Macaca fascicularis: one gene and its partners. The protein of the gene in region 7 purifies or fractionates together with the protein of the main gene of each other region. This does not show direct contact. Links are inferred from orthologs where the notes say so. Each region holds a gene or a part of one and is shown on either strand. Other genes may lie near its edges.

Evidence for each region.
Region 1: the proteins of PPP1CC (region 7) and NCOA5 purify together in Homo sapiens (affinity purification with mass spectrometry; 3 studies listed by BioGRID and IntAct, with this or other methods). This does not show direct contact. The link is inferred for Macaca fascicularis from reciprocal best matches to the Homo sapiens genes PPP1CC and NCOA5.
Region 2: the proteins of PPP1CC (region 7) and UBXN2B purify together in Homo sapiens (affinity purification with mass spectrometry; 3 studies listed by BioGRID and IntAct, with this or other methods). This does not show direct contact. The link is inferred for Macaca fascicularis from reciprocal best matches to the Homo sapiens genes PPP1CC and UBXN2B.
Region 3: the proteins of PPP1CC (region 7) and PFDN6 purify together in Homo sapiens (affinity purification with mass spectrometry; 4 studies listed by BioGRID and IntAct, with this or other methods). This does not show direct contact. The link is inferred for Macaca fascicularis from reciprocal best matches to the Homo sapiens genes PPP1CC and PFDN6.
Region 4: the proteins of PPP1CC (region 7) and WBP11 purify together in Homo sapiens (affinity purification with mass spectrometry; 4 studies listed by BioGRID and IntAct, counting the BioPlex papers as one, with this or other methods). This does not show direct contact. The link is inferred for Macaca fascicularis from reciprocal best matches to the Homo sapiens genes PPP1CC and WBP11.
Region 5: the proteins of PPP1CC (region 7) and RASSF7 purify together in Homo sapiens (affinity purification with mass spectrometry; 4 studies listed by BioGRID and IntAct, counting the BioPlex papers as one, with this or other methods). This does not show direct contact. The link is inferred for Macaca fascicularis from reciprocal best matches to the Homo sapiens genes PPP1CC and RASSF7.
Region 6: the proteins of PPP1CC (region 7) and PPP1R9A purify together in Homo sapiens (affinity purification with mass spectrometry; 6 studies listed by BioGRID and IntAct, counting the BioPlex papers as one, with this or other methods). This does not show direct contact. The link is inferred for Macaca fascicularis from reciprocal best matches to the Homo sapiens genes PPP1CC and PPP1R9A.

What each region holds. Positions count from the first base shown.
Region 1 is NC_088384.1:102,138,004-102,142,264, forward strand, and holds the start of NCOA5 (nuclear receptor coactivator 5), read right to left. Parts: upstream 2,801-4,261; 5' UTR 2,655-2,800; intron 1-2,654. UniProt on the Homo sapiens protein: Nuclear receptor coregulator that can have both coactivator and corepressor functions.
Region 2 is NC_088382.1:68,400,521-68,404,020, reverse strand, and holds part of UBXN2B (UBX domain-containing protein 2B), read right to left. Parts: intron 1,028-3,500; coding exon 924-1,027; intron 1-923. UniProt on the Homo sapiens protein: Adapter protein required for Golgi and endoplasmic reticulum biogenesis. Involved in Golgi and endoplasmic reticulum maintenance during interphase and in their reassembly at the end of mitosis.
Region 3 is NC_088378.1:138,412,978-138,416,236, forward strand, and holds PFDN6 (prefoldin subunit 6), read right to left. Parts: upstream 1,802-3,259; 5' UTR 1,770-1,801; exon of another isoform or gene 1,629-1,769; 5' UTR 1,542-1,628; coding exon 1,478-1,541; intron 1,251-1,477; coding exon 1,180-1,250; intron 1,099-1,179; coding exon 974-1,098; intron 714-973; coding exon 584-713; 3' UTR 501-583; downstream 1-500. Other genes in the region: WDR46 (WD repeat-containing protein 46), read left to right, coding at 2,219-2,296, 2,394-2,603, 2,707-2,787, 2,931-3,043, 3,166-3,253. UniProt on the Homo sapiens protein: Binds specifically to cytosolic chaperonin (c-CPN) and transfers target proteins to it. Binds to nascent polypeptide chain and promotes folding in an environment in which there are many competing pathways for nonnative proteins.
Region 4 is NC_088385.1:17,569,815-17,573,314, forward strand, and holds part of WBP11 (WW domain-binding protein 11), read right to left. Parts: intron 608-3,500; coding exon 506-607; intron 85-505; coding exon 1-84. UniProt on the Homo sapiens protein: Activates pre-mRNA splicing. May inhibit PP1 phosphatase activity.
Region 5 is NC_088388.1:454,470-458,758, reverse strand, and holds the start of RASSF7 (ras association domain-containing protein 7), read right to left. Parts: upstream 2,801-4,289; 5' UTR 2,681-2,800; intron 870-2,680; exon of another isoform or gene 379-869; intron 94-378; 5' UTR 87-93; coding exon 1-86. Other genes in the region: LMNTD2 (lamin tail domain-containing protein 2), read left to right, coding at 2,880-3,067, 3,167-3,319, 3,663-4,026, 4,282-4,289. UniProt on the Homo sapiens protein: Negatively regulates stress-induced JNK activation and apoptosis by promoting MAP2K7 phosphorylation and inhibiting its ability to activate JNK.
Region 6 is NC_088377.1:126,051,346-126,054,845, forward strand, and holds part of PPP1R9A (neurabin-1), read right to left. Parts: intron 3,251-3,500; coding exon 3,068-3,250; intron 1,697-3,067; coding exon 1,484-1,696; 3' UTR 1-1,483. UniProt on the Homo sapiens protein: Binds to actin filaments (F-actin) and shows cross-linking activity. Binds along the sides of the F-actin. May be involved in neurite formation. Inhibits protein phosphatase 1-alpha activity.
Region 7 is NC_088385.1:117,610,167-117,613,666, forward strand, and holds part of PPP1CC (serine/threonine-protein phosphatase PP1-gamma catalytic subunit), read right to left. Parts: intron 3,193-3,500; coding exon 2,962-3,192; intron 1-2,961. UniProt on the Homo sapiens protein: Protein phosphatase that associates with over 200 regulatory proteins to form highly specific holoenzymes which dephosphorylate hundreds of biological targets.

The DNA of each region.
Region 1 (4,261 bases), on a different chromosome or scaffold from region 7:
TAAGAGTAACAGTGACTTCAGGAATAGACGTTTCATTCTTCATGTGGGAAGTCAAAACCAAAAGAACAATGTAAACTGAAGGGAAGAAAAAGTTTAATATATTTCCTGTGAAGATTTTCCATTCTTAAAAGCACAACTAAATTTTATTAATCCTCACAGAAGTAGAACATTACACAAAGGCACTGCCATCTGCAGGTCATAAACACGGACTGCTTGTAACGATTATTTAAAATGAAGTTTCAAACCATTAAATATTTTTTCATCATACTTCTAAAGTCTTTCCAAAAGTTGTTTATTCTGGCTGGACGCGGTGGCTCACACCTGTAATCCCAGCACTTTCGGAGGCAGAGGCGGGCGGATCACCCGAGGTCGTGAGTTTGACACCAGCCTGACCAACATGGAGAAACCCCGTTTCTACTAAAAATACAAAATTAGACGGGCGTGGTGGCGCACGCCTGTAATTCCAGCTACTTAGGAGACTGATGCAGGAGAATTGCTTGAACCCGGGGGCCAAGATCGCGCCATTGCACTCCAGCCTGGGCAACAAGAGCAAAGCTCCATCTCAAAAAAACAAAAACAAAACAAACAAGTTGTTTTTTCTTAGCTCTCAAGCACTGGTAGATGAGTTTCCATTTGCTGAAGTTCTGAAACGGACGCCGGGCTTAAATCAAATTCTCAGAAATGTGAAGAAAATGACCTTAGCCTTACGTAAATTCTACATTGTGATCATACCAAGGTAACCCCAAAGAAACATGTTTTTAACAGGGGGAGATACATATATATACACACACACACACATATACACACACATATACACACATATACATATATACACACACACACACACACGTATTTTTACGCAGCCTTCGAGGGGAGGGGAAGAAAACTTGAATAAGCCTGAACTGACTGATCCGACTTTCCTGTCAATGAATTAAATTAAATCTGCTCTTACATTCACATAAACAGATCTTATGAACACACTACTAACTTACAAATAAGTTAATCTGTCAATGCCTCCTTTAAACTTGTGGTGTTCACAGGTATGCAACATTGAGCAAACTGAATCTAGAAAAACTTCTAATGAGCCCTGCAATATGGATTCGTTACATATTGTATATTCTACAAGGAAAACCGGTGTTTCTAAGTTTTAGGTTAAAAGATGTGTCAGAGGTTTCAAAGGCCATCTGAAGAGTGACAGATGAGCTCAAGGAAAGGCAAAGAAATTACAGTAAAGGAAGAAATAGATGTTAACAAATAGTCAAGTGATTTTTTAATATCCACAATGCAAAGCATGGGCTTAACTGGTTGCAAAAAGTCGACACCAAGTTAGTTTTCACACCCAGACTGACTCATAGAGAAAACATTAAATTAAGAGTTGTCAAAACTCACAAAAACTTCCCCACCATTTGTAGAAACATCTTTTTATGAGCCATCCATCAGGGGGCTATGACATCACAACGCTGTAACTGAGGCACACCGGGTGCACTTGAGTGACAGTTCTTGCAGTTCCCTGGGACTAACACTTTTAAGTCAACAATGAGAATAGTTTACAATAAGAAAGCTGTTACAGGGCATTCAGAGAATCTGCTTTGCCTCAGGGAAAAATTTTGTGCACGGGGTGCAAGGCAGAATAACCACAATTAATCAGACACTCCTCGGGCAGCGTTTCCCAAAGTGTGGAACGCAGAATAATTTCAGGAGGAACAAGGACGCACTGTTTATTTCAACAGACAGATATTTATTTTTTATAAACATTAGAAAAATAACTGGCTTTCCAGTACCCGGTTTGTGATTGAAGTTGCCGCCTTAAATATATTTAAGGAGAAAAAAAGTGTCAGTTTGAATTTTTAAAAAAATGTAACATTTGGTGAATAGCGGTACAGATGGTCCACGGACATAAAGGTGCAACGCGAGACTGAAACGTGGGCAACGCCGTCCTAAGAAAAGCCCCTCGCCCGCTGGCGGGAAGCGGATAGTGCCCCGCGCCGGGAGCCTGGAAAGCCGGCCGGATCGGACTCTGGCGCTGAGCTACGTGGTAAACCCGGGCACAGTTCCTTTCCCCGTTCTCTGGGCCCGAGGTTCGCGCCTACAAAACGCGTGAGGTGTCACACGACAAGGAGACACCCCGAGAATGCGGTCAGGAGCCGCGAGGCGGTGACGGGGGACAGCGCTCCGTACACCGCTCGGCGCTGCACGCCTGGAGAACGCCCGGTGCCACGGACCGCCTTGCGGCCGGTTCGAATCCCGACTGCGCCACTGACTCGCTGAGGACCCGCGGGCGAGCGACTCCACTGTTTCGACAAGGGGGTGCGGGGCGTGCGGCTCAACCAGACAGAGAAGCCTTGAGGACTCCTAGTGACCGACCGTTCGTGCACAGACAGGCGGCTGCGATGCGACGCCGCCGACCTGCGTCCACCACAGAAAACCACAGGCCGCCTCGGCCGGCCGGGCCTGGGCCTGACGGGAACCGGAGAAGGCCGCGCCCCGCACCGGGCATGCGCAGCACCGCGCGCACCCGGAGAGGAGCCGAGGCCGTGGCCGCGCGTCGAGTGGGCCTTCCCGCCTCAGCCTCCCCGTCCGGCCAGGCCCCCCGCCCAACCGCCTGTCCGTCAGACCCACGTCTCGGCTGACGGCCACCGCTTCCCGGCACTCACCGCTACCAGCGCGGCGGGCTCCCGGCCGCTCCTTCGCCTCAGGCCCGCCGCTGCCGCCTCCGCGTCGGCCCACCTGCCCGCCGTAGGACAAAGGCGCCACCAACCGACCGGCGCGGGCACGAGGCAATGGCGGCCGGGCGGAGAGTGGAGATGGGGGCAGAGGACGCGCACGTAGCGGCAGGCGCGGCACTGTCGCAAGACCGCACGTGTTTACGGCAGGGCTGAGTTGGGGCGTCGATCTCCTTGGCAATGAGGGCCGGGAAGTGGCTCTCGGGCGGGAGTTGAGAACGCAAGGAGTTGCCTAGCAACAGCGTCCTAGGCTGAGGATGGGCCCCATGGTGGTCCCCCCAGCCCCCGCCCCAGAGTACTTTCCTTCTGTTTTCGGAGCACATTCCTTCCTCCCTAACTGTGGGAACAGAACATTCAAATCCCCAAATACCTTGATTTAGTCTTGCATAAAACTGAAAACAAAAACCCCAAATCCCTGTACACCCGTGTATTGGAGAATATATATATATATATATATAGTCCTGTAACCTCCGGATCACAAGGAACAAAGAGAGCAGAAAGGTAGAGAAAATGTTGTATTTAAATTTGTATTTAAATAGGCTCTGTACTCTTACTAGTTTCACTGACAAGCGGCAAAAGGTTTCTGGAGATATAGTCACAGGTTCTTCTTGAGTTATTTGTTCTTGGAATATTCGTTCAAACGTCAAAAATTTCCCAGAATGTAACTGTTGACCGTGAAGCCTGTAAAATGTTGTATTGTTCATTTCATCACAGGGAATGGGATTTGCTCACACAATAGTAAATGCACTCTATTAATCACAGCCGTAGCTATATGAATCAGGTACTCTTTTATTAGTGTTGGAAACGCCTCAAACTCCATGGGGTCTAGTTTTTCTCCTTGTGACTATTGCCTGCTAAGAAAAAATGGTGCCTGGGGAATTTAAACACTACAAGAAGCCAGATTTCTTTGACATCTACCCCCATGTTCACTCCACTCATTTATTCACTGAATGTTTATTACATACCTACTAGGTAGCCCTATACTTATTATATGCCTGCTTGTTAGGCACTATTCTGAGCAAATGCAGACCCTTCTCTGCTACCTTGGAGATTACAGTCTAGTGAAAGATAGCATTAGGCAAATAATCACACTTGAGTGTGTGATTGCAAACTGAGATAAACGCTGTGAAGGAAAGAAATAGGGATTCTCAGTGGGTGTAACTAGAACTTTACTCACAGGCAAAGTGGGTTATTCCAATTCCCACTTTATAAGACTGTATGAAATTAGAAATAAAGGCATAAAGTCTGTCAAATAATGGATACCCAACAAATGTTCATTCTTATTCCTTCCCCTCCAATATAGATCCTAATACTATGAAAATTTAAGAAGAATCATATTAATTAGATGATTAAGATAACCAAGCTTAGGGAAAAATGTTGGTTTAGAGATGATTGGCAGTACCTCAAGTGGGTAGTGGACTTTAGCCAAAAGATGTATTCAGTGACTTGTGTAGTAAGCGTTTAAAGAGTGTTTTCTATACACTTGGTTTTGTGGAGAGTAGAGGGTAAGGTAGATAAAATCCTTGTGCTTAGGGAGC
Region 2 (3,500 bases), on a different chromosome or scaffold from region 7:
AGGTAAAGTGTCATGATGGCTACAATTTCCTTTCAAATAGTTGAGTAAAAAAGAGAGAGAATACATGTGTACACAAGTTCAATGTAACATTTTAACAACTTGATGAATACAGGTGAAGTAAACACAGTATTTACTAGTCTTGATTTTTGATGAATTGAAAACTTACAAAATGGACTTTCTGAAAATAAGATATAATGGGAAAACTGACATTTCTTCCCCAGGGATGATACTTACAGTACTAAAAAGATGTAAATGAAAATATTCCTGGCAACAAGAAAACTCACAGCAATAAAATACACCTGATTCTCATCTCTTAAATCTTCATAGTTGGCTGTTTTTATACTTCAGGGATTTTAATAACAACAAATACTATTTAGGATGTCACACACTGGAGGAATCATCACCCAAAGGAGGAAAAGACAGACTTCAAAAATCATAGATTCTTAAATGGAGGACAAAAGACCTGCAGAGGCTCCATGGAGTGGCTTCAAGTGGCTTCAAGAAACACACAGACTCTTAAAAATGAATGACAAACTTGCACATGAAAGTTGTTTTGAGAGGAGAATTCTACAGCTTTCATCAGACCGTTAGTGAGTCCTACAACTCAAAAAATATTAAAGAACCACTGTGCCCAACAAAAATAGTATTCAGGATATAATTTCATATGATATGTACCAAAATATTAGATATTTTAAGGTAATTTTTCCATAAGTTTCTTTTAGCTTTCTGATTGTAAAAGTTCTTAAAATAGTAACTAAATGATATTAATCTTTTCTTTTTTATCCAAATCTGCCTTGCCCTTGGAATAATTTTTAAAAATTACTGAAGAAACCTTGAAAAAGGCCATTTAAAACAATTTGAAGTTAGTAAAATTTTAGAAAGAATTGTAATTTCTTTTTACAACAAAACAAAATAAAACTTACCGTTGAGGTGGTGTCCGTGGGCTCTTGAAGACTGCAGCTTTAGGTCTGTTAGACTTGGAAGATTTGCACTTCACTTCATCTTCATACAATTCTGCCAAGGCCAACTACATAATAACAGGCTTGTTACAAAGTATAACACTAGGAATAACCTCTTAACTACAACTAGAAGTTATGTATAGAACATTAACTTAAAATTGAGTGGTAAAGGCTTTTCATGAGAAAAGCTGCTGCTTCAGATGATTCCTTTCTGAGATAAACTTACCACATCTCATTTTATGGAACTAACCAAAACGCCACATCTATTAGAATAACTTTAAGTTATAATAATTACTTGATTATTTTCAGTTAACTATTCAACAGTGTCAAAATCTGTTTTAGGTAACAAACCATTTTCAAATTTAAACCTAAAATTCATGTGCAATTCTTTTAAGAATTCCTGAAGATGTTCACACTAATGTCAGCTTCTTTCATCAGATCTCATAAAATAATTTCATTCAGCTATTCAAGTTTTCAAACTCCAAGCACATAAAACAACTTCAGAAGTATTCTATTTAAAAGTCTACCAAACATATATATTTCAACCTGTTTAGGAAAACAAGTTTCTGAACAATACAAGACCATAAATTTTATATGGTTTATATACCATTTAGAAAGTAATATTACCAAATTATACATTCTAGATATTGGCTGGATAGTTTATTTCAAAATGAAATAAAACTATATTTGTTCTTGAAATGGAATTTTAAAAAGTAGTAAAATATTTCAGTATTGTATAGAATTTTTTCCGACTTTTGACATCTTTGGATAACTCAACAACGTTCCTTAATGATCCTGTGGCTATTCAATTATAATTGGCATTACCATAATCTCTGGGTTGTTTTTTAAAAAAAACCCAAAACAAAAACAAAATAGATTAAAATGCTCCTTTTAGACACATAAATGATATTAAAACTACCTCCAAGAAGAACAGGGCATTGGGGCAACATTAATTCTTTAAAAATTATCTTAGTCAACTTTTAAAATATACACAAATAAAACAAAATGAAAGACTTCTAATTTTTTTCCCCCTACCCTCTCACATTCAGTAACATTCATATTTGTACCAGATTTGCTAGAAATATGAATCATAAAAGTGTTTGGTAATCTAAAAGGACTGAATTTAAATCCTAACTTAGGCACTTACTGTGTGATCTTGGGCAAATTATTTAATTTCTCTCAGCCTTAGTTACCACATCTTCAAATGTCTATAAAAAAATCACCACAGAGTCATTTGAAGGATTAAATAATGTATGGAAAGCACATTCACATGCTTTGTGAATATCTTCTAGTGATGGAAGAATCATATCTTCCATCACTAGAAGATATTATTCTTAAGTGTTTGGCAATGATTTTATCAGTATTTCCTTTTCCCCAAGATTTTTGTTTCTTCCCACAGTGTTGTATCTCCTTATGGTCCTTTATTACCCCATCCCCTCCAAAAACACAAAACAAAAAACAAACAAATGACAGAGGAGAGACAGACAGACATGCACATACAAAGTCTGATGACTAGGGACAAAACTTTTCAGAAATTTTACCTCCCTGAAATTTCTTTAAAGTAATACTATTTTATGGATTTCCTTCTGAGTTATGTCAGCTGTATGAATTACTTTTATGATACTCCTACTCTCATCAATGAAAATGTCATCTGTATTTCAAAGGCCCATTTCAGCTCTCCTTCACAAAACCTTTTCTAATTTTCTTAATGTCTTTTTTCAAATACTCATGGCACGTGAAACCCCAGTGACATTCATATTAAGCATTATGTTGTCATTACTTGTGTACTTTTGCTGTTTTATTTCCCCAAGTAGATTTTAAGTTTCTCAAATTGTTTCTAATATTGTATCTAAAAGGCAACAAATTCACGTTGAATTATATAAAGAACATAGTATAAACGAATCAGAAATAGATATAGACAGATTGATTTTAAATTGGGGTTATATTTGCTATATGTTTTTTGCTTTAACAAGATTTAAATAAATACTTTCAATCAAATAACAATTTTCTTTGGTGACATAAATTAAAAAAGCAAAAATGCCTCTGACCCCATGGAATGTGGAACACACATTAACAAAAGAGGAATATGAGGAAAATGATATTGAAGAGTCTACCTGGCTGAAAGATCCTACTTATTAATGGTACATCATTAAAAACTTAGAAAATGAGTGGTATTTAGAGGCAGTTGATGCCATATGGCATCATATGGCATAAGTTCATTAGTAAATACTACAAAGAAATTTAATTTATATTATTTAACATAGCAGATGATACTACATCAAAAGAGGAAATGATAATTTAAATTGATAAATATTAATTGAAGTACTGGTCAAAACTAACACAATAAAATCTCAAAACATTATTAAGAAAATGTTTCAATAATATGCAGAGGATAAACTATGTAAGTAAAGTATTGATAATTTTTCCTCCAGAATTTGAAATGTGAAGAACTTGAAACCTGAAAGCAAAGGAATTGGGTAAGAAAATCAAGTATACAGCATTAAAAGTACTGGAATTCTCAGCCTTAGAGTAACCAATTCT
Region 3 (3,259 bases), on a different chromosome or scaffold from region 7:
GACAAGGAAATGGCAGAACAACTTTATGGACAACATATAAACTTGGGAGGACTTATACACTACAAAGCATTACGTGCTGGGATTTTAAGTCAGTTTAAGCTACATTCAAGCAAATTCTAGGAAGACAGAGGCTGAAAAGTACCAATAGAGATGCCAGGGCTGCTGGCAAAGAGGGTAACCACATTTCATCCTGGGGCCTCAGGTTAGAGAACCGTGAATTCTTTTTCAATTGAACTGACATTCCTAGTAATACGCTATGTTGTAAATGCCCTTCCAAAATAATCATGCCAACCAAGATGAGGGAAAGTTAAGGGTTGTATATACAGGCAAGAAGTAGGTTTGAGGACATTTAGGATTTCACTTTCAAGAAAGAAAGAACATTGTGCCACAAAGAAGTTCCAAGTGCAAGAGTTTGAACCTGAGGGGGTAATACAGGTGGTGTGTGTGAAGGTGGAAGGGACTGTGGGGATATGACAGAAGCGCCTGGTCAGGAAACGGAGCCAGGTGTTTTTACATTTTATTAGCTACAGTATAGATGCTAGAGCTGCCTCATTCCCTCCCCTCCCCTCCCCCCACCAAGGGGTCAGGCCTTGCCAGGAGCCCCTGCCTTTGCCGCCTGGGCCCGCTGGAACTCCTGCTGCAGCTGAGCAAGGGTCTCCCTCTGTTGCTCTGACTGCCGCTCAAGATCCCGGAGCTGGGATTCATATCGCTTACTAAAGAGAGACAAGGGAGACAAGTAGAAAGGGAGAAATTAGTAGGACTTACTAAGGAGGGTGCTAAACGCAAGAAAGAGATAGGTGGAAAACTTGAAATTAGGGAAGGGAGAAGGGGGGTTAAAAGGGAAGGAAGGGGTTGGAGGAACTGGAGGACTAGGGGCCACTATGGAGAGCTGTTCTGCAATGGTTCAACACCTCTACTCCAATGATTCACTGCATCACAGGGTGCAGCACACAGTGGTGGAATAAAGACTCACATTTCAGCTGTGATATAGTCCAGCCTCTTCCCTACTGTGGCCCGAGCCTCCCCCAGCTCCTGTTTGACTAGCACCGGACCCAGAAGTTTAAAGACCACGTTGGACCCATCCAGCAGGGCCAGTTCCTGATGGAGGGATGGGACATACGTGATCAGAACCATGGCTAGTACAGGTCCCTCCTCGCCCCACAAATCCCAGTCCCTCACCTCTTTCACGATATTATTTTCTGTTAGTTGTGCTTCAAGTTTCTGCCTCCCCGACATGGATTTACTCAAGTCTGGGGATAAGAGGAAAGGCAAGATTAGAAACATCAATCCTAGTCAGGTGGATATGGATCTGAGGAAGCAGAAAAAGATGGGGGCAGCGGGTCAGTGAATAGGGAAGAGTACTGAAGCGGGAAAGTCTCTGCACGCAAGGGCCCAGATGGGGCAACAAACCTTATCTCGGTAATGGCTTTGGGTTGTGAGTGCATTGGGCGAGGCCATACCGACCCTGCTCCCTTACCCTTCTGTAGCTGTTGATATTTCTCCACTTCTCCCTGCAGCTTCTTCTGGATCAGCTCCGCCATGGCAGGGATGAAAGCCTACGGGGAGCGAGACAAGGGCGCTGCGTCTCACTCTCTGGAAGGTACCTGAGCTCCCTTTTCTGATCTCGCCTGCGGAAATGATAGCACTCTTGAGAGGCAGCCCTGAGGGGCACCGCCACCTCCCCCCCGTCCTGGGTATCGACTCCACCCCGTCCCCAGGATATGGTGGGCGAAACGCAAGACCGTAAGCCTCTCAACCGAAATCCCAACCTATTCACGTTCTGCTTTCAGTAGTAATAAACCCGGAAGTAAACGAGGAATGCCGGGAAAAGACTGCGCCGGAAGTTTCTTTCTGACCCTTGATGGGAAGTGTAGTTCTGACATGTTTAGCGAATGGAGTTCTGCTACAAAGACTGGACTCGGATATTTTTAGGCAAGATGGGGAAACTAACCCGGAAAAAGAAACCGCACCGCTACTTAGCCCCTGGTCCCGGGCCTGCCTTTCTTTTGTAAGTCACTCTTGCATAAGCTGCCGCTCCCGATAAGGTGCCAAGAGCTCTTCCGCCCCTCTAAGGAAAGCGTGCCCTCACTCAAGATGGCGCCTAGAGAGCTTCAGACCTGGTACGCTGCTGATTGGATGAAGGATAGAGGGCTTCCGGGAGTTTTCAAGCCGACTGTGGGGCAGCTGAGAGAAGTTTTGCACGTGGATCGCCGTTCGGATGGGCGAGATGGAGACAGCCCCCAAGCCGGGCAGGGATGTCCCGCCCAAGAAAGACAAACTTCAGACCAAGAGAAAGGTATCGGCCTCCCTGGGTGGGAAAGGAAGTTTTTTGCTGCGGGGTCGGGGGGGCGGGGCGTGGGTGCGGAGTATCAGAGTTCCTGATCTGCTTGTAGAAACCGCGGCGATACTGGGAGGAAGAGACTGTTCCGACCACAGACGGAGCCTCTCCAGGGCCTCCTTGTAACAAGAAGAATCGGGAGCTCCGTCCTCAGAGACCAAAAAATGCTCACATATTAAAGAAGTCTCGGATCTCTAAGCAGCCTCAGGTCCCGAAGAAACCCCGAGAGTGGAAGAACCCGGAGTCCCAGCGGAGCTTGTCCGGGGTGAACGTGGAACCTAATGGGTGGCGAGGCAGGGCGCCTTGTGCTTTGAAAGGGTTGGGGTCAATCCAAGGCTGTCTACTAACTGCGTTCTCCTTTCCCCTAGGCCCAAGATCCATTCCCAGGCCCCGCCCCCGTCCCTGTGGAGGTGGTCCAGAAGTTCTGTCGTATTGACAAATCCCGAAAGGTGAGGTCCAGCCGGAGAGTTGGGAAGTGTTGGAGGCAGGGAGTGTCTGAGTGAGTTGAATGGAGGCTGGGCTAGGTAGCTCTCCTGTGACCCCACTTATCCTATGGTTCTTCTGCCACTCCTCCCCACCAACAATGTTATAGCTACCACGTTCTAAAGCCAAAACTCGAAGCCGACTTGAGGTGGCTGAAGCTGAGGAAGAGGAAACAAGTATCAAAGCTGCTCGTTCTGAGCTGCTGCTTGCTGAGGAACCGGGGTGAGTGGGCCCTAATCTGGACCCCCAATCCTTGCCTTATAGGACTGTCTTTTCTCGTTTTTATGTTGGTACACTTGCTTCATATTGGGAAACTTTACTGCTATCCTAACCCTTGCTTTCAGGTTTCTGGAAGGGGAGGATGGGGAAGACACAGCAAAGATATGCCAGGCTGACATTGTGGAGGCTGTGGACATTGCAAGTGCAGCCAAGGTGAGC
Region 4 (3,500 bases), about 100 Mb from region 7:
CTGCTTCAGAGTCATCAGAATCATCTTCATCATCGTCCTCTGAAAATTCCTCTACTTCCCGTCCCTCCTCAGGGATTTCTTGACCTGAAAGAAATTTTAAACTCAGTAAATGGAGTTGATTCACTTTTTTACAGTTTGGAGAACAGCAATGACTGAATACACATGGTTAATAAATGTGTTCTTAAAATTAAAAACCAAATAGTCTTCTTCAATAAAATACTTAGATGTGAAAGAAATACTATTCTATACTCATCTGTATTAGTGTAGCATAGTGGAATGAACTCAGGCTTTAAAACAAGACAGACCAATATTTAAATGCCAGCCCAACCATTTACTTGCTATGTAACTTCAGGCAGCCTATATGATGGTTCCAAATCTTATTTTTGTAAAACAAGGACTTCTTACTTACTTGAAGGTTGCTGAGATACTAAATGGAAAAATGTATGTAAAGCAATTAGCGTGAGGATACACCAAAAGGTGATTCACTATTTTTTCCCTGTCTTACCTGCCATACGAAGCATCATGGCTTGAAGAGGAGTCAGTTCCTTCATGTTCTTCTTTTTCTTCCTTGATTTTCCAGGCATATCTGCAAACCGTACACTCAGACCTAAGGGGTCAAAGAAGGGAGTAGAGTAGATTGGGATCAACAAAATTCAGTAAATGTTTACTATATAATAGTATAAAGTACTAGATATGACTGCTACCCACTACTTGGCAGAGGTGCAGGATGAGACAGCTATATTAATGATATGAACACCCAGATAAAAACAATGTTCTAGAAAATATAAATTATTAAAGTTGGTCAAAGAGGTGATAAGCCCAGAATATACAAAACTTAAATGGTAGTTGAAGATCTACTCCTTAAAGGCTACAAATAATTTTAGGAGGAAATTCAGCCAAACATTAAGTTACAGAAATTTCCTGATAAAGAGCATAGGAAAAGATGAAATGTTACCCAACTCATGAAGTTAGCTTAAACCTGATACCAAAACTCATCTATTGGCCAACATAAAATATAAGCAAGTTATACATGTTTATAGCAGCACAATTTGCAATTGCAAAAATATGAAACCAATCTAAATGTCATCAACCAACCAATGGTTAAAGAATGGTATACATCCACCATGGAATACTACTCAGCCATAAAATGGAACAAAATAATGGCCTTTATAGCAACTTGGATGGAGTTGGAGGCCATTACTCTAAGTGAAGTAACTCAGGAATGAAAAACCAAATACTGTATGCTCTCACTTGTAAGTGGGAGCTAAGATATGATACCATGGACTTTGGGGACTCAGTGGGGAAGGGTGGGAGGGGAGTGAGGGAAAGGAGACTACAGACTGGATACAGTGTATACCCTACTTGGGTGAGGGATGCATCAAAATCTCAGAAATCACCATTAAAGAACTTATCCATGTAACCAAACACAACCTGTTCCCCCAAAACTATCAAAATTAAAATTTACAAAAAGGAAAAAAATATATAAGCAAGTTGAATCCAAGTGTTCTAAAAGCCAGCAATGTAGTTCACTACAATAAAGAACTTACAAAGAACAAAAAAAAAGTTACATCCCAACAGATATAAAAAAATACTTATGATTAAAAAAAAAAAAAAACTCTTAGCAAGCTAAGACTAAAAAGAACTTTTTTTTTTTTTTTGAGACGGAGTTTTGCTCTTGTTGCCCAAGCTGGTGCGATCTCAGCTCACCGCAAACTCTGCCTCCCAGGTTCAAGTGATTATCCTGCCTCAGCCTCCCGAGTAGCTGGGATTACGGGCATGTGCACCCACGCCCGGCTAATTTTGTATTTTCAGTAGAGACGGGGTTTCTCCATGTTGGTCAGGCTGTCTCGAACTCCTCACCTCAGGTGATCCACCCACCTCAGCCTCCCAAAGTGCTGGGATTACAGGCATGAGCCACCGTGCCCGGCCTAAAAAGAACTTCTTAATTGACTAAGGCTATCCATTGGACGTTGGATAGGAGTATTTTTAGTTAGTAAACATTTTAGGAGCAGAATAGTTCCATGTGAACAGGACTTTAGTTTTGTTTACCCTGTATCCTTAGTGCCTAGAAAAAATGCCGTGTGTATAGTAAAAACTCAATAAATATTAGCTGAGTGAATATCAACTCAGAGTTGGGATGGTCATTTTCAGAACATGTGTATTGATGAGAATATATAAGAAAAATGTGGTTGGGTGCTGTGGCTCATGCCTCTATTCCCAGCACTTTGGGAGGCCAAGGTGGGCAGATCACCTGTGGTCAGAAGTTCGAAACCAGCCTGGTCAACATGGTCAAACCCCGTCTCTACTAAAAATACAAAAATTAGCCGTGCATGGTGGTGGGTGCCTGTAATTCCAGCTACGTGGGAGACTGAGGCAGGAGAATCGCTTGACCCCCAGGAGATGAAGGTTGCAGTGAGTTGATATTGTGCCACTGCACTCCAACCTGGGTGACAAGAGTGAGATTGTCTCAAAAAAAAAGATAAAAGAAAAAAGAAAAAAAAAAAAATCTGTCGGCAGAATAAAAGAAAAAGAAGGCAAGAGACCACATAGACCCAGAAAAAAGTGGAGCTGCCGTGGCTCTAATGGCTTTCTACTTTCCAGTACTAGTTCCTACCTAACAGTCCTGTATAATAATCTTTCATTACCAGCTCTATTATTTTTAACTAGCTTTTTTGTGTTTGCAACCACAATTCTTAAGACACAGCAGGAGAAAAATTTGTCATTATCAATATTAACATTAGTATTACATAGTATTATATAAATATTCTGTTGTAGGCTACAAAAACAATCCCAAAAGAAGCTCCAAAACTGCTGAGGTTTGATAGAATTGGTGTGCATTTTGCACTGTCAGTACCTATTAACGATGCTTAAAATTTTCTTGACAAATGTCCTATTTGAATTTTTTTTTTTTTGACACGGAGCCTCACTCTGTTGCCCGGGTTGGAGTGTAGTGGCACGATCTCGGTTTACTGCAAGCTCCATCTCCTGGGTTCAAGCCATTCTCCTGCCTCAGCCTCCCAAGTAGCTGGGACTACAGGTGCCCACCACCACGCCTGGCTAATTTTTTGTATTTTTAGTACAGACGGGGTTTCACCCTGGTAGCCAGGATGGTCTCGATCTCCTGACCTTGTGATCTGCCTGCTGCGGCCTCCCAAAGTGCTAGGATTACAGGCGTGAGCCACCGCGCCTAGCCTGAATTTTTTAATAATAAACATACACATTATAGATACAATATGTTTCATGATTCCACTCTTGAGTGTACCTGGGTTATAAATATGATCCTGGTTCATGTAAGATACTATAAAAGGGCTTCAAAGGTAGATATTTAAACAGATTTATAAAATACAACATCAATGTTTTTCTTAATATGGCTATTCTCCTTTCCTATAACATACCCATAAAAATACATGTTTATGCTGTTGAATAGTTATACCTTTTACCCCGAAGTGAACTTTTGCATAGACATTTTTATTACACACAGTTTGTTTTTCCTCATAAAC
Region 5 (4,289 bases), on a different chromosome or scaffold from region 7:
GTGGTCTGCTCCGAGACCCCACAGACCACACGCTGGATGCCATCCACCCACACCTTCAGCTCCATGGCCGCCAGCCCCAACAACATCCCTGTTCTGTGGGGAGGGTACAGGCCACAGGGTCAGGACCTACCTACCCCTATCGAAGCCTGGTCCTCGTCTCTTCCTTCTCCTGGCCTGCCCTAGAAACGGCTGGGCTGCGACCCCTCCGCATGGGCCCAACCCTCCTGTGCCAGCCCCACCCGCCGGCCACACATTCCTAGGGTGGCGGCCCTCCGGAGCACGCATCCTCCCCCACTTCACCAGCCTACTCTTGCCACGCCCGCACTCCCGGAACAAGGAGAATCATTAACCAGATCCAGGATTTCCTGCCCGCCTCACCTGGCTCGGAGGGCACTGCCCCCTCCCCGGGCGGCGCGGAGGCGCCCGCACGCCAGGCCCCGCGGCCGCCGCCATGGGAACGCCCCACCCGGACCTGCTCAGGCCGCAGAGGCGCTCGGGGTCGCGACCAAGACCTCGACCCTGCAGATCGAGCGGACTCCGGGTCTGAGCAGCCCCAGCCAGCGCGGGGAGCCCCGCCGCTGCCGCCCAATCGCTGCACTCGCCCCGAAGGTCCCGGTCCCCGCGGCAGGCAGGGATGCCCGCGCCGCGACCCCAGCCTGGCGGGAGCCAGGGCGTCCCCGCTCCGCAGGGAGGGCGCAGGTGCGGCACCGCCCCCGCCCTCCGTCCCGGCATCGCGGAAAACTCTCCCCAGTTGGAGTCGGCGCCCTGCCGGCTAGAGGAGCGCCCCGCACTCGAGAGGCCCCGGGACCCCGCGCGGCTCACCTGGGCGCTCGCCAGCCTCTGTACCCGCTCAGGCGCCGCCGCAACCTGCCGCCCCCAGCGCCGCGGCGCGCCCCGGACCCGCGCCCCCATTGGCCCGCGGCCCGCACGCCCCGCCCCCAGCGCCTCTATTGGCTGCTCAGCGCGGGTGTTCCGCCCCCTTCCCCGCGCCCATTGGCTGTCTCTGTCACGCCCCTCCCCGATCCATTGGCCTGCCGCAGCGCCCCGCCCCCAGAGACTCCAGGTGTGGGCGGGTCGGAGGGACGGGCCGAGCCGCGGTCCCCGCCCCCACCTCCACCCGGCTAACAACGCGGAAACGCGGCGGCTGCTACCCGCGGGCTGCGCGTCGAGACAGGTGTCCGACCCTGCTCCTGGGCCGACTTCGTCAGCAGCCTTCTAGTGTGTGGCGGGTTCCCGCCCAGGGAGGGTCTCTGGCCTGGGATCCCGCAACCCCCGCCTGCGTTGAGGGGCAGAGGGGCCAGCCCCTCCCCTCGCTTCCCGGGCCAGCCTTTGGAGCCCACCGCAGCGGCAGTAGCCTGGACGCGCAGGGGTCGCGGGGTCGCAGGATCACCAGTCGCGGCAAGGGAGGTAGAACTCTGCGGAGCTGGCGGGCGCCGAGCCCTGGTGCGGGAGGTGCCCGCTCAGGGGAAGGCCCGGACTCTGGCTGAGGCTCTTCTCCTACACCTTCCTGCCGCTTTTGGACCCAGTGCCAGGCCTTACGCACAGTGAAGCTGGCTGGAAGCAGCTCCTCCACCCCCTACCCTACTGTCCCGCCCAGGGCCCCGCAGCCTCGCGGTCATTGATTGCCATTGTGGAGCATTGATTGCCAGTTCCGCCCAGCTCAGAACGAGTTATGGGCGTGGAGGGGTCTCCTGCCCGGCTGTCTCCTGTGCTCCGCTAGGGAGCCCTTACATAGTCGAAAGTTGCAGAGGTGAAGAGTGAATGAGTGAGGGCGAGGTGGAGGGTGAAGGCTGGAATGCTTGGGTCTTGTGGGTCAGGTCTGGGACCTCGTTTTTGTCCTGGAGCAGAGGGAATACGTGCCATGGTAATGAGAATGCCCACAGGGTCCCCTGAGGGTAGCCCAGAGTGTGTGGAGATGGCTGGGAAAGGTGAGGCTTCAGTTTGGGGGTTCAGGTAGGTGAGGGCCTGTCACTGAGGTCAAAGGAGCTGTGGGCTGGGCCTGGTGGTGGAGGCAGGTGCCTGTAGTCTCAGCAATTCAAGAGATGGAAGTGGGAAGATCACTTAAGCCCAGGAATTCGAGGTTACCGTGAGCTGTGATCACACCAAGGCACCTCAGCCTGGGCACCAGAGCAAGACCCTGTCTCTAAAAAATTAATTATTAATTTAAAAAGAGGCTGTGGGCAGGGGCATACTATTCCCAGTTAGCGTTCAGCACAGTCCCCAGCTTGTCACTGTTACCTGTCTGCTTCCCCCACACACCCATGGCTATGCTGGGCTGGCCCACAGGCAGTAGTGCCCCCATATTTATCCCGCAGGTGCTGCCAGGCTAGGTAGGGGATGCTGGGGCCTCCCTCAGGGTGCTGGCCACTAAGTGGTCCCCCCGCTAAGCTGAGCAGTGGCTCAGCCTCTCACACCTCCAAGCTGGGCTGGCCCAGCCCAGAACTCACCCAGGGGCCTGGTCTGGGGTCTCCCTGGAGGCTCCTGGTAACAAACAGCCCCTCCCTTTCTGGGTGCTGGTGTCCATGGCAACGGTATAGAACCCTTCCCCGCCAGGCCTGCTTGGAGGTCTGGCCTCAGGTGAGTGCTGGGGGTAGAGCCCTGAACTGGGGGTACAAGAGAGAGAAAGAGGGACACCACATCACAGGCAAAGGGCCAGCACCTGGGTGGCAGGGGGACATACCAGGGACATGTCAGGTGGTGACCTGCTGCCCCATCCTGGTCAGAAACACACGGGTGTGGACATCCACATGTGAGTCTCTTCAGAGAGCGACGCTCTGTGAGCAGTGGTGCCGCCTGGGCTGCTCCAACCTGTGTGGCCACATGAGGCACACATAGCCAGCTTGGGACCCCCACCCCTCCGCTCCTGAAGAACATTGAGAATGGCCCCCAAGTCTGGCCAGGGGGTTGAAGAAGCCGAGGAAGAGGCTCTCCTGTCCCCCACAGAGCGAGAGTCTGTCAGTGGTCACCGGGGACCTCCAGCAGGCGCACCTGCAGCCCCCGAGACCCCCACATGCCTGCCAGACACCACGCCCCACCCCACACGGGCGGCCTGCTCTGCTGACCTGCAGTAAGGAGGGGAGGGAGGAGTGGTGAGCCTCCTGGGCCAGGTGGCCAGGGGCCCAGCCTGAGTAAGCAGCAGGGGCTGCTGTTGCTGCTGCTGCTGCAGGTTGGCTCTTGAGTCCCTGGACCCTCGCACACTGCGGCTGCTGTGGAAGCAGCGAGAACTGGAGATCCAGGCCTTGCGGTGGGCCGTCCAGAATGGCAAGGACACCCGGCTCTGCCACATCCTGGAGGAAGTGGCAGGGATTTCACCCAAGAGGTCTGCAGCACAGTCCCCAACCAACCCAACCCTGCCCTGTCCTCGCCCAGACTCCTGGTTTCTGTCTGACCCCAATCCCAACCACTGAGTCAGATCCTTACCCTCATCCTCACCCATGCTGACCCTCCACCCTGATCCTAAGTTAACACGCTATAGCCTCAACCCTAACCCTGCGCATGTGGATGGGTGCTAGACTCCTGCCCAGACCAGCCAGAGGCTGGCTGGCCCCAGTGGGGCTGTACTGTGTGCCCTTGGGGCCGAGGTGGCAGTGGAGCCCCTGACCTGACATTAGGAACCCCCTGCCTGAGCGGGGTGAGGGCTGCTGAGGTCGCCCCTCCTCCAGGAGCTCCCACAGTCAGGAGAAGTTCCTGCAGAACCAGGTCCAGAAGCTGACCCTGGAGTTGAAGGAACAGAAAGAGCGAGCCCAGTGGGTGAGGCGGGGGCACAGGGAGTGGGCAGGGTCCTGGTGTTGGGGAGCCAGGCTGCGGCTGGCCTGGGGGCCTTCTGCAGAAGACCCCCCCCACCACCACCCACGGGCCCTCCCGGAGCAGGAGAAGGAGCACCTGGAGGAGCGGCTGTTGCAGACCACCCGCACGCTGCAGGAGGTGGAGGCCGAGCTACAGAACTTGCAGAAGTCCTGCCTCCTGCAGCTGGCCCGCTCCTCGTGGGTGGGCCGCATGCTACGATCCCAGACTGGCAGTGTGGAGGTGAGCCCGTCCCCCAAGCCCTCCTGCCCCAGGCTGCCCTCCCCAGCCCTCCCCCTCTCATCGGGTGCCTCTGCTGGGGTGCCCTGGCCTGCCTGGAAGCCTGCCCTGCTCAGGCTGCCTCTGGAACTCTGGGCTCCAGCAGGGAGGAATCAGGAGGCCTCAAAGCACAGGTGAGGTCAAAGAGAAGAGGTGCTGTAGGGGAGGGGTACCCTTCACCCCAGCCCCTGCCCACTGGCCTCTGGTCCCCTCTTGCAGGTGGTGAC
Region 6 (3,500 bases), on a different chromosome or scaffold from region 7:
TAACCTCAGTTTAGAGTCAATGCAGCAAAGAGAACCAGATACATGAGCATAAACTACAAAAACCCAAAAAACCCTCATCACACGAAATTTCTCAAAATGAGTTTATTTTCTCCTTCTTCTGCCCCAGTCTCCTGCACTTAGGACTTAGTTTGGTGAAATACAGAAATCCTTAATACTGGCTTAAAATTAGTATAAGTTCCTCCACTACTAAAGTGTATCCTATGCACTGCCTTAAACAAACTTTTTCCGTAAAATTGGAAATCTTTAAAGTATGGAAAGGAATGGCTCAGAAAAACCATTCAAAATCTCCCTAAAATGTTAACTGACAGTTCTTCTTTATAGGAACATTCTTTGTACTAAAAAAAAAAATTGGTTCTCCAGTTGAATATTATTCAAATCTAAATTTCCTCAAACTGGTATTTCTACTTTTCTTAAAAGTACATTTGTTAAAACACTAACTGAGCCCACCTGGGAAATCTTGAGTAGAAACTATGTGATGAGTTCCTGATTGTGACATAGACAGGCTGAAGACCAGCCAGAATGTTCCCCAGGAGAGGAAACCTGAAAATGGTGGTTTCCTTAAAAATCAATTTCCTGTTCAATTTCTTGGGTTGGGTGGGGGGAAGGGGAACTGTGTTGTGTTTGCCAGTGTTGCTGAGATGCTGAACACACAACAGTAGCAAGGTCAACAGATCCCAATATCCCATGGCTGCATTAATGTCTGATTTTTTTTCTTTCGTGTTCAGCTATATCTAGAGGATAAATATTACTCTCAGAACCTAAGGTAATACTCACATACACAATCTTAAGGCTTTTGCTTTTTTCAGTGGTTAACAAATAGCTATAATTTCTTTTCTTTCTTTTTGATGCCTAGCAAGCAGAATGGCTTGCTTGCCTTTTCCCTTAGTAGGTAACTATGGAGCAGAGCATCCATGTTTCCACAGCAGGGTGGTCTTACTGTCCAGACTCAGAATTAAGAGTGAATCTTTCCCACACACTGGAGTAGGTTTTGCAGCCCTAGAAGTAAGTACTGGTCCAGATCTCATGGCAGGGTGCTCTCTGCCATGCAGACAAGTGCAATTGCCATTTCAGGATCCCAAACTGAAAATTCACAGTGCTCCATCAACAACACCAGGGTGTATCATGCTCTTGTTGGGTGGGGTCAAGCTAGTTCTCCAAGTGACAAAACACACCCAACACAACACAAGATGTTGCTAAGTTAGAGAAGAGCAAAACACAGCTACTTAAATGAAATGTCTGGTTTGTTAATAAATCAAAGGTGGCTTGGGACTATGTCAGTAGTTAAAATTAAGAGTGCCTTCTATTGCAGAAAATGCAGTTATTCAACACACGGTTCCTCAGCCGGCCTAGAGCCGCATTACCCTTATCATTTAGTTTCTTCTTCATCCTCTGGAGGAGAGCAGGGCAGGAAGAGGTGGGGACTTCTCTTGGATAATCTCCATCTTCAGTAAGAGGGTATGTGTTACTGCTCACCAGCACCGTCGGCTGCAGTTGACGTCATCTTTTCTGTCTTTTTGGACTTCCTCTGCATTTGCTCTTGTTCCTTTCTCCTTAGCTTTTCTCTTTGTTTTTCCATTTTCTCTTGGGCCTTCCGAGCCTTCTCTAGAGACATCTTCATTTCCTTGAGTTTCTTTTTGACCACTGCTCGGTCCTGGGATGCTGTCATTCCAAGAGCCTAAGAAGGAAACACACACACAAACTGAATTTGAAAACCAGTGAGCCCTCTGATGATGTTAATATACCATATGTTCAAGTTTGTAAACTAATTCAAACATAAAAGAGATAAGAAAAGAGGAAGAGCTAGTTACGTTTGTTAAAAATTAACACACTGGGGGCTACCCTTTTTCTTTTGTTCTTTGAAGTCCCTTGCAAAGTATACCCTAAAGCTCATTAATTAAATGCTTTCCAAATTAGTAATTAATGGGTGAATGAATGGAAAAAAGGCACAATTCTACTTCTCCGACCTTTAGGCTGTAGACATTTATAGGTAAAGGTATTGCTAAACTCATCAATATTTTCAAAGCATAGGAGTGAACACCTGCTGTCACAGAGGGCTCCAAGAAGGGCAAGAAGAATTGAAACAGCTTCCTTTCTGCCAATGTTTTCATTACAATGAGAACCAAAAGTGTCTTTGGGGCCAGAATGCTCGTGTCAGCATGACTAACCATTCTTTCCCTGTAGGTAGACCTATAAAGGAAGCTTGATTATAATGAGGAGGTTGCTCGATGAACTTAGAATTCAGAATAAGGGGAGTTGCTTATGTACTTTAAATGTTTCGTGACCTTCAGAATCAACAGCAGGATGCATCTATCTATCTCCCCAACAGGGACAGCCTTGTCAATGGGGCCTTCATATTCACAAGCTATTGATTGATCTCTAACCTTTTCAAGACTGTCAAGAGATACTCATCTGCCCGTCAGCCCAGCAGGGGGCTGAGGCGGGGGCATGGAGCTTGGGGTTACATGGAGTTGGCTGTAAGCTCCTTTCTCCCTTTCCCAAAGGAATGGATGCCACCTTGGTCTCTAAGGGGGATGGACTGGACAAGTGGAAATGAAAGTGCCATGGAGGGGAGGGAAGATGTGTGTACATACTTGGAGAAAAAAACTTCTGGGGAAAACATCATCCCAGTTTGGGAGTGGTGTGTAAGGAAGAGTGGAGGTGAAGGAGAAATGAACAAGGAAAAGAAGAGTCGTGGATCTGGGTCTTAATTCTAACGTGATGAAAAAGTCCACAGTGGCCATGATTAAAACTCACACTACATCAGAAGGAAGGAGAGTTAATATATGGACCATGTGTTGCCAGGTGGAAGCAATGGAGTGGGTCCCTCGCTTTCCTAATCAGCAGCCTACCATTTAATTTAGAACCCCTGATGGACTTTCTGAAACTTCATTTACTACTCAGAAAGAATTCAACATCCTTTCTGCTGAATGTTGATGAGAATTACCTCTCAGATATGCAGAGTGCTCTTATCTAATGAAAACATTTTAGGTGCTTTGAGTAATACAAGTTATACCTGGTAACCTAACACAGACATATAATTCTTTACCTTAAGTTTATTTCCATCCAACTGCAGGAGCTGCTCTCCAGTGATGTTTTGGGCACTGAATTCAGATACATACTGCTCCAGATTTAGGCTCATTAACCAGTGAGAAACCTGCTGCACACTCCATTCCTGAACGGCCCGATTCTGACACTGACTGTGTTTGGGAGACTGTCCATCATCAAGGATCTGAGATAGGAATGTTACGTAGTGTTGTTAAAGGACCAAGATACTATGGCTCATATTATGCTATCAGAAGGAATTTCTTAACCTATGAGAGCCACACTTATGTTTAAACCAAAATATGATAAGCTAATGGTTCTAATGGTGGTAGAAAAAATACTTATTACCTATATGTTCTTATGTTTTTGGAAGTTTAGAAATTCCCCCATAATAAAAAAGCAGCATTATTAATGTAGGAAGTTTAATATAGAAGAAA
Region 7 (3,500 bases):
GCCCGGCCTTTGATTCTTTAGTTATGCCACAAACTCCAGTTTCTTCTCTTGCCGATTTCTGCTGGCCTCTCCATGAAAAATCAGTTTGCTTCCTCCTTTTGCCTCTCAGCACTTGAAGCGTGGGGCTGTCTCTTTCTCTTCTCTCTTCATATCCTCCCTAAGGCCACCTCAAACCACTAGGAACATCTGGGTCCTAAAAGGTTTAACCAGGGAAATCGTCTAGCTTCCAAATCCTAAGATTCTGAGCCATAACCTGTAATGCAGTTTCCCATTACTGTACATCAGACAGCTCCGATAGCAGAAATGGATCAACAAACACTCCTGTTTTACCCAACAACATATACCTCAGCCTTTTCATCACATTTGCAAAATTTAAACAAACAAACAAAAAAGAAATGGTAGTATAAAGTACTTATGTACCTGGAAAACAGGCAGTGGTTTTAAAATTGTCCCATGAAAATCAACATTTGAATACAACTTTTCATTTTAATAAAATTAATATATATAATATATATACTAAATGTCTGCAAGCCTTCAACCAGAAGCCACCTATGTCAAGGGCACTTTTATGCCCACAAGTAGACTGGATGGCAAATTGTATCTGCCTGATGGGAGAGAGGATGCTTGATCTATAAACTGTGTTGATGATCAAACAGGAGTCGAAACTGATACCAACCGACACTGATCTTCTAAGTCATTTTAAAGGCCTCTGCATTGAGTAGAAACTGAAACTGATGCAGCTAGTATCATTACGTTAGGATAGAAGTCACAACAATGAGGTCAAATGGATTTGAATTCATCAGTGCAAACATGAAAAGTATTTACTGGGCTAACAGTTATGTAAAAGGAACCCTTTCTTAACTCAAGAGTAACACTTGGAATAAGTATCCAAAACACAATGTTGCCTGGGTGTGGTGGCCCATGCCTGTAATGCCAGCACTTAGGGAGGCTGAGGTGAAAGGATTGCTTGAGCCCAGAAATTACAGGTTGTAGTAAGCTATGATCCTACCTCTGCACTCCAGCTTAAGGCTCTGTCTCAAAAACAAAAAACAACAACAAAAAAAACCCACCACATCTGCCTTGTATTTCACTACCTAAGGAGTAGTAACTGGCTTACTGGTACTTCTTTGACACAGAATCCCTGTTAATATCGAATATCTTTCCTGTACAGGTTCAATGGTATCAGTCAGTCCAGAACCCACAGAATTTTTGTCCCTGATCATTCCTGCCACCTCATCTTACCAGCTGGATCTCAAGGACACAGACCAAGCAAACATCCAGTAGTGGGAAAGGGTGGTAGTAGAAGGGCTCAGTCTGTGAATATAATCTTTCTAGGATGCACTTCTAACAAATGTGCTAGCTCACTGCATCTATGTGAACTGAGATGGAAAAACACACATCTGGAGACTCTAAGTTAGGATGTGGTCTAGGGGAGGGCCACAGGGACAACACTTTGCTGATCTCCCTATAATCATATTAGCAAATGCCAACTACCTGAAGTTCCTTAACCACCCCACCCCTTCACTCCAAACCTGAAACCCCTCCTGGCAGAAATAAGCACAAAAGGAAGGTGAAGGTAAAGATTCAAAACCTTTTCTGACGTAAAACCCTTTATCAAACTGATTATTTTCAAAGTTTTTTTTTTTTGATACGGAGTCTCACTCTGCCACCCAGGCTGGAGTACAGTGGTGTGATCTCGACTCACTGAACCCGACTCCCGGGTTCAAGCGATTCTCCTGCCTCAGTCTCCCAAGTAGCTGGGACTACAGGCATCTGACACCACGCCTGGCTAATTTTTGTATTTTTAGTAGAGACAGGGTTTCGTCATGTTGGCCAGGATGGTCTCGATCTCTTGACCTCATGATCCACCTGCCGTGGCCTCCCAAAGTGTTGGGATTACAGGCGTGAGCCACTGCGCCCAGCCTATTTGCAAAGCTTTAAGAACTGTGTTTTGTCAATAGTCAAATCAAAGTGCACCTTTAAATAAACAATCCAAAATGAGTCACAAAATGCGTAAAATACTGTAAAAATAATCTTTGTTCAGCACATTTTAGTTTTAGGAAAGTTATTGCCATTCTTCCTGGGTGCGGTTATGCCAGAGGAGAAAAACCATAATAATTTCAAAAACTAATTATTTACACATTGCCAAGATTCCATTTGCATGCAATGTTCTCTAGCAGACAAAAAGTAGATTAGTGGTTGCCTGGGGGCTACGGTGAGATGGTCGCGTTAACTATAAATTTACTACAAATCACTGAATTGTATACTTTCAACAGATTAATTTTATGGAATGAAATTACATAATAAAGTTGCTTAAAACTATTTAGAATGGTTCTCAGATTTCTACCAAGAATTAAGTTATCTGTGAATACAACAATTTACATCTTAAAGAAACCACTACCATGATCATTATTTCCTAATCTGATCATCACATCATAAAAGAATCCAAGACCTTATTTTATTATAGCGGCAGTGTTCTTTTTCTACCCAAGAGAGAAAAAACTGGCTGGGCGCCATGGCTCACACGAGTAATCCCAGGACTTTTGAGTGGCCTAGGTGGGCAGATTCCTTGAGTCCACGAGTTTCAGATCAGCTTGGGCAACAAGGTGAAACCCCATCTCTTCAAAAAAATACATGAATTAGCTGAGCGTGGTGATGCATGTCTGCAGTCCTAGCTACCTGGGAGGCTGAGGCAGGAGGATCGCTTGAGCCTGGGAGGCAGAGGTTACAATGAGGTTAAGATGGTGCTACTGCACTCCAGCCTGGGCTGTTAACAGAGTGAGACTCTGTTCCCCCACCTCCCCTAAAAAGCTAAGTTAAAAACAAGTTGATGAAATAGAAAACATGAGAGATGATACCACTGCATCTAAACTCTCACAATTCCTAACAGAAGTACGTGATAATTGTTTATGATAAATATCTTAATTTCAATAACTTCCTGAGATATAGAAAAGTACTTACATTCATCATAAAATCCATAAATTCTGTTGATGCTGGCACATTCATGGTTCCCTCTGAGAAGAAAAAAATTCTCAGGATATTTGATTTTGTAGGCCAGTAAGAGGCAGATCGTCTCCAATGACTGCTTTCCCCTGTCCACATAGTCCCCAAGAAACAGGTAGTTGCTTTCTGGCGGGAAACCACCGTACTCAAAAAGTCGCAGCAAATCATAGTATTGCCCATGGATGTCACCTAGAAGCAAGAATTTTGTTACACAGTGTTCCCATACTTACAGCTCAATCCACTAACAAAGCTTTAGAAAGAAATTCTTTAAAAATTCATTGTACAATGGCATTGACCTCTAGTAATGAGAGTTTAATTGGACAGCCAACACTAAGTAATTTCCAAACTGGCATCATATTTAGTTCAATTGAACTTAATAAAATTTTTAAGTATATGTGTATGTCCAGAACCTCACACAAAATTCAACTAATTAAGAATTTATTCTGTGGAAAGGGTTATTATGTCCAGGCATGCCTTCTTGCCAAGTAACATGGTAT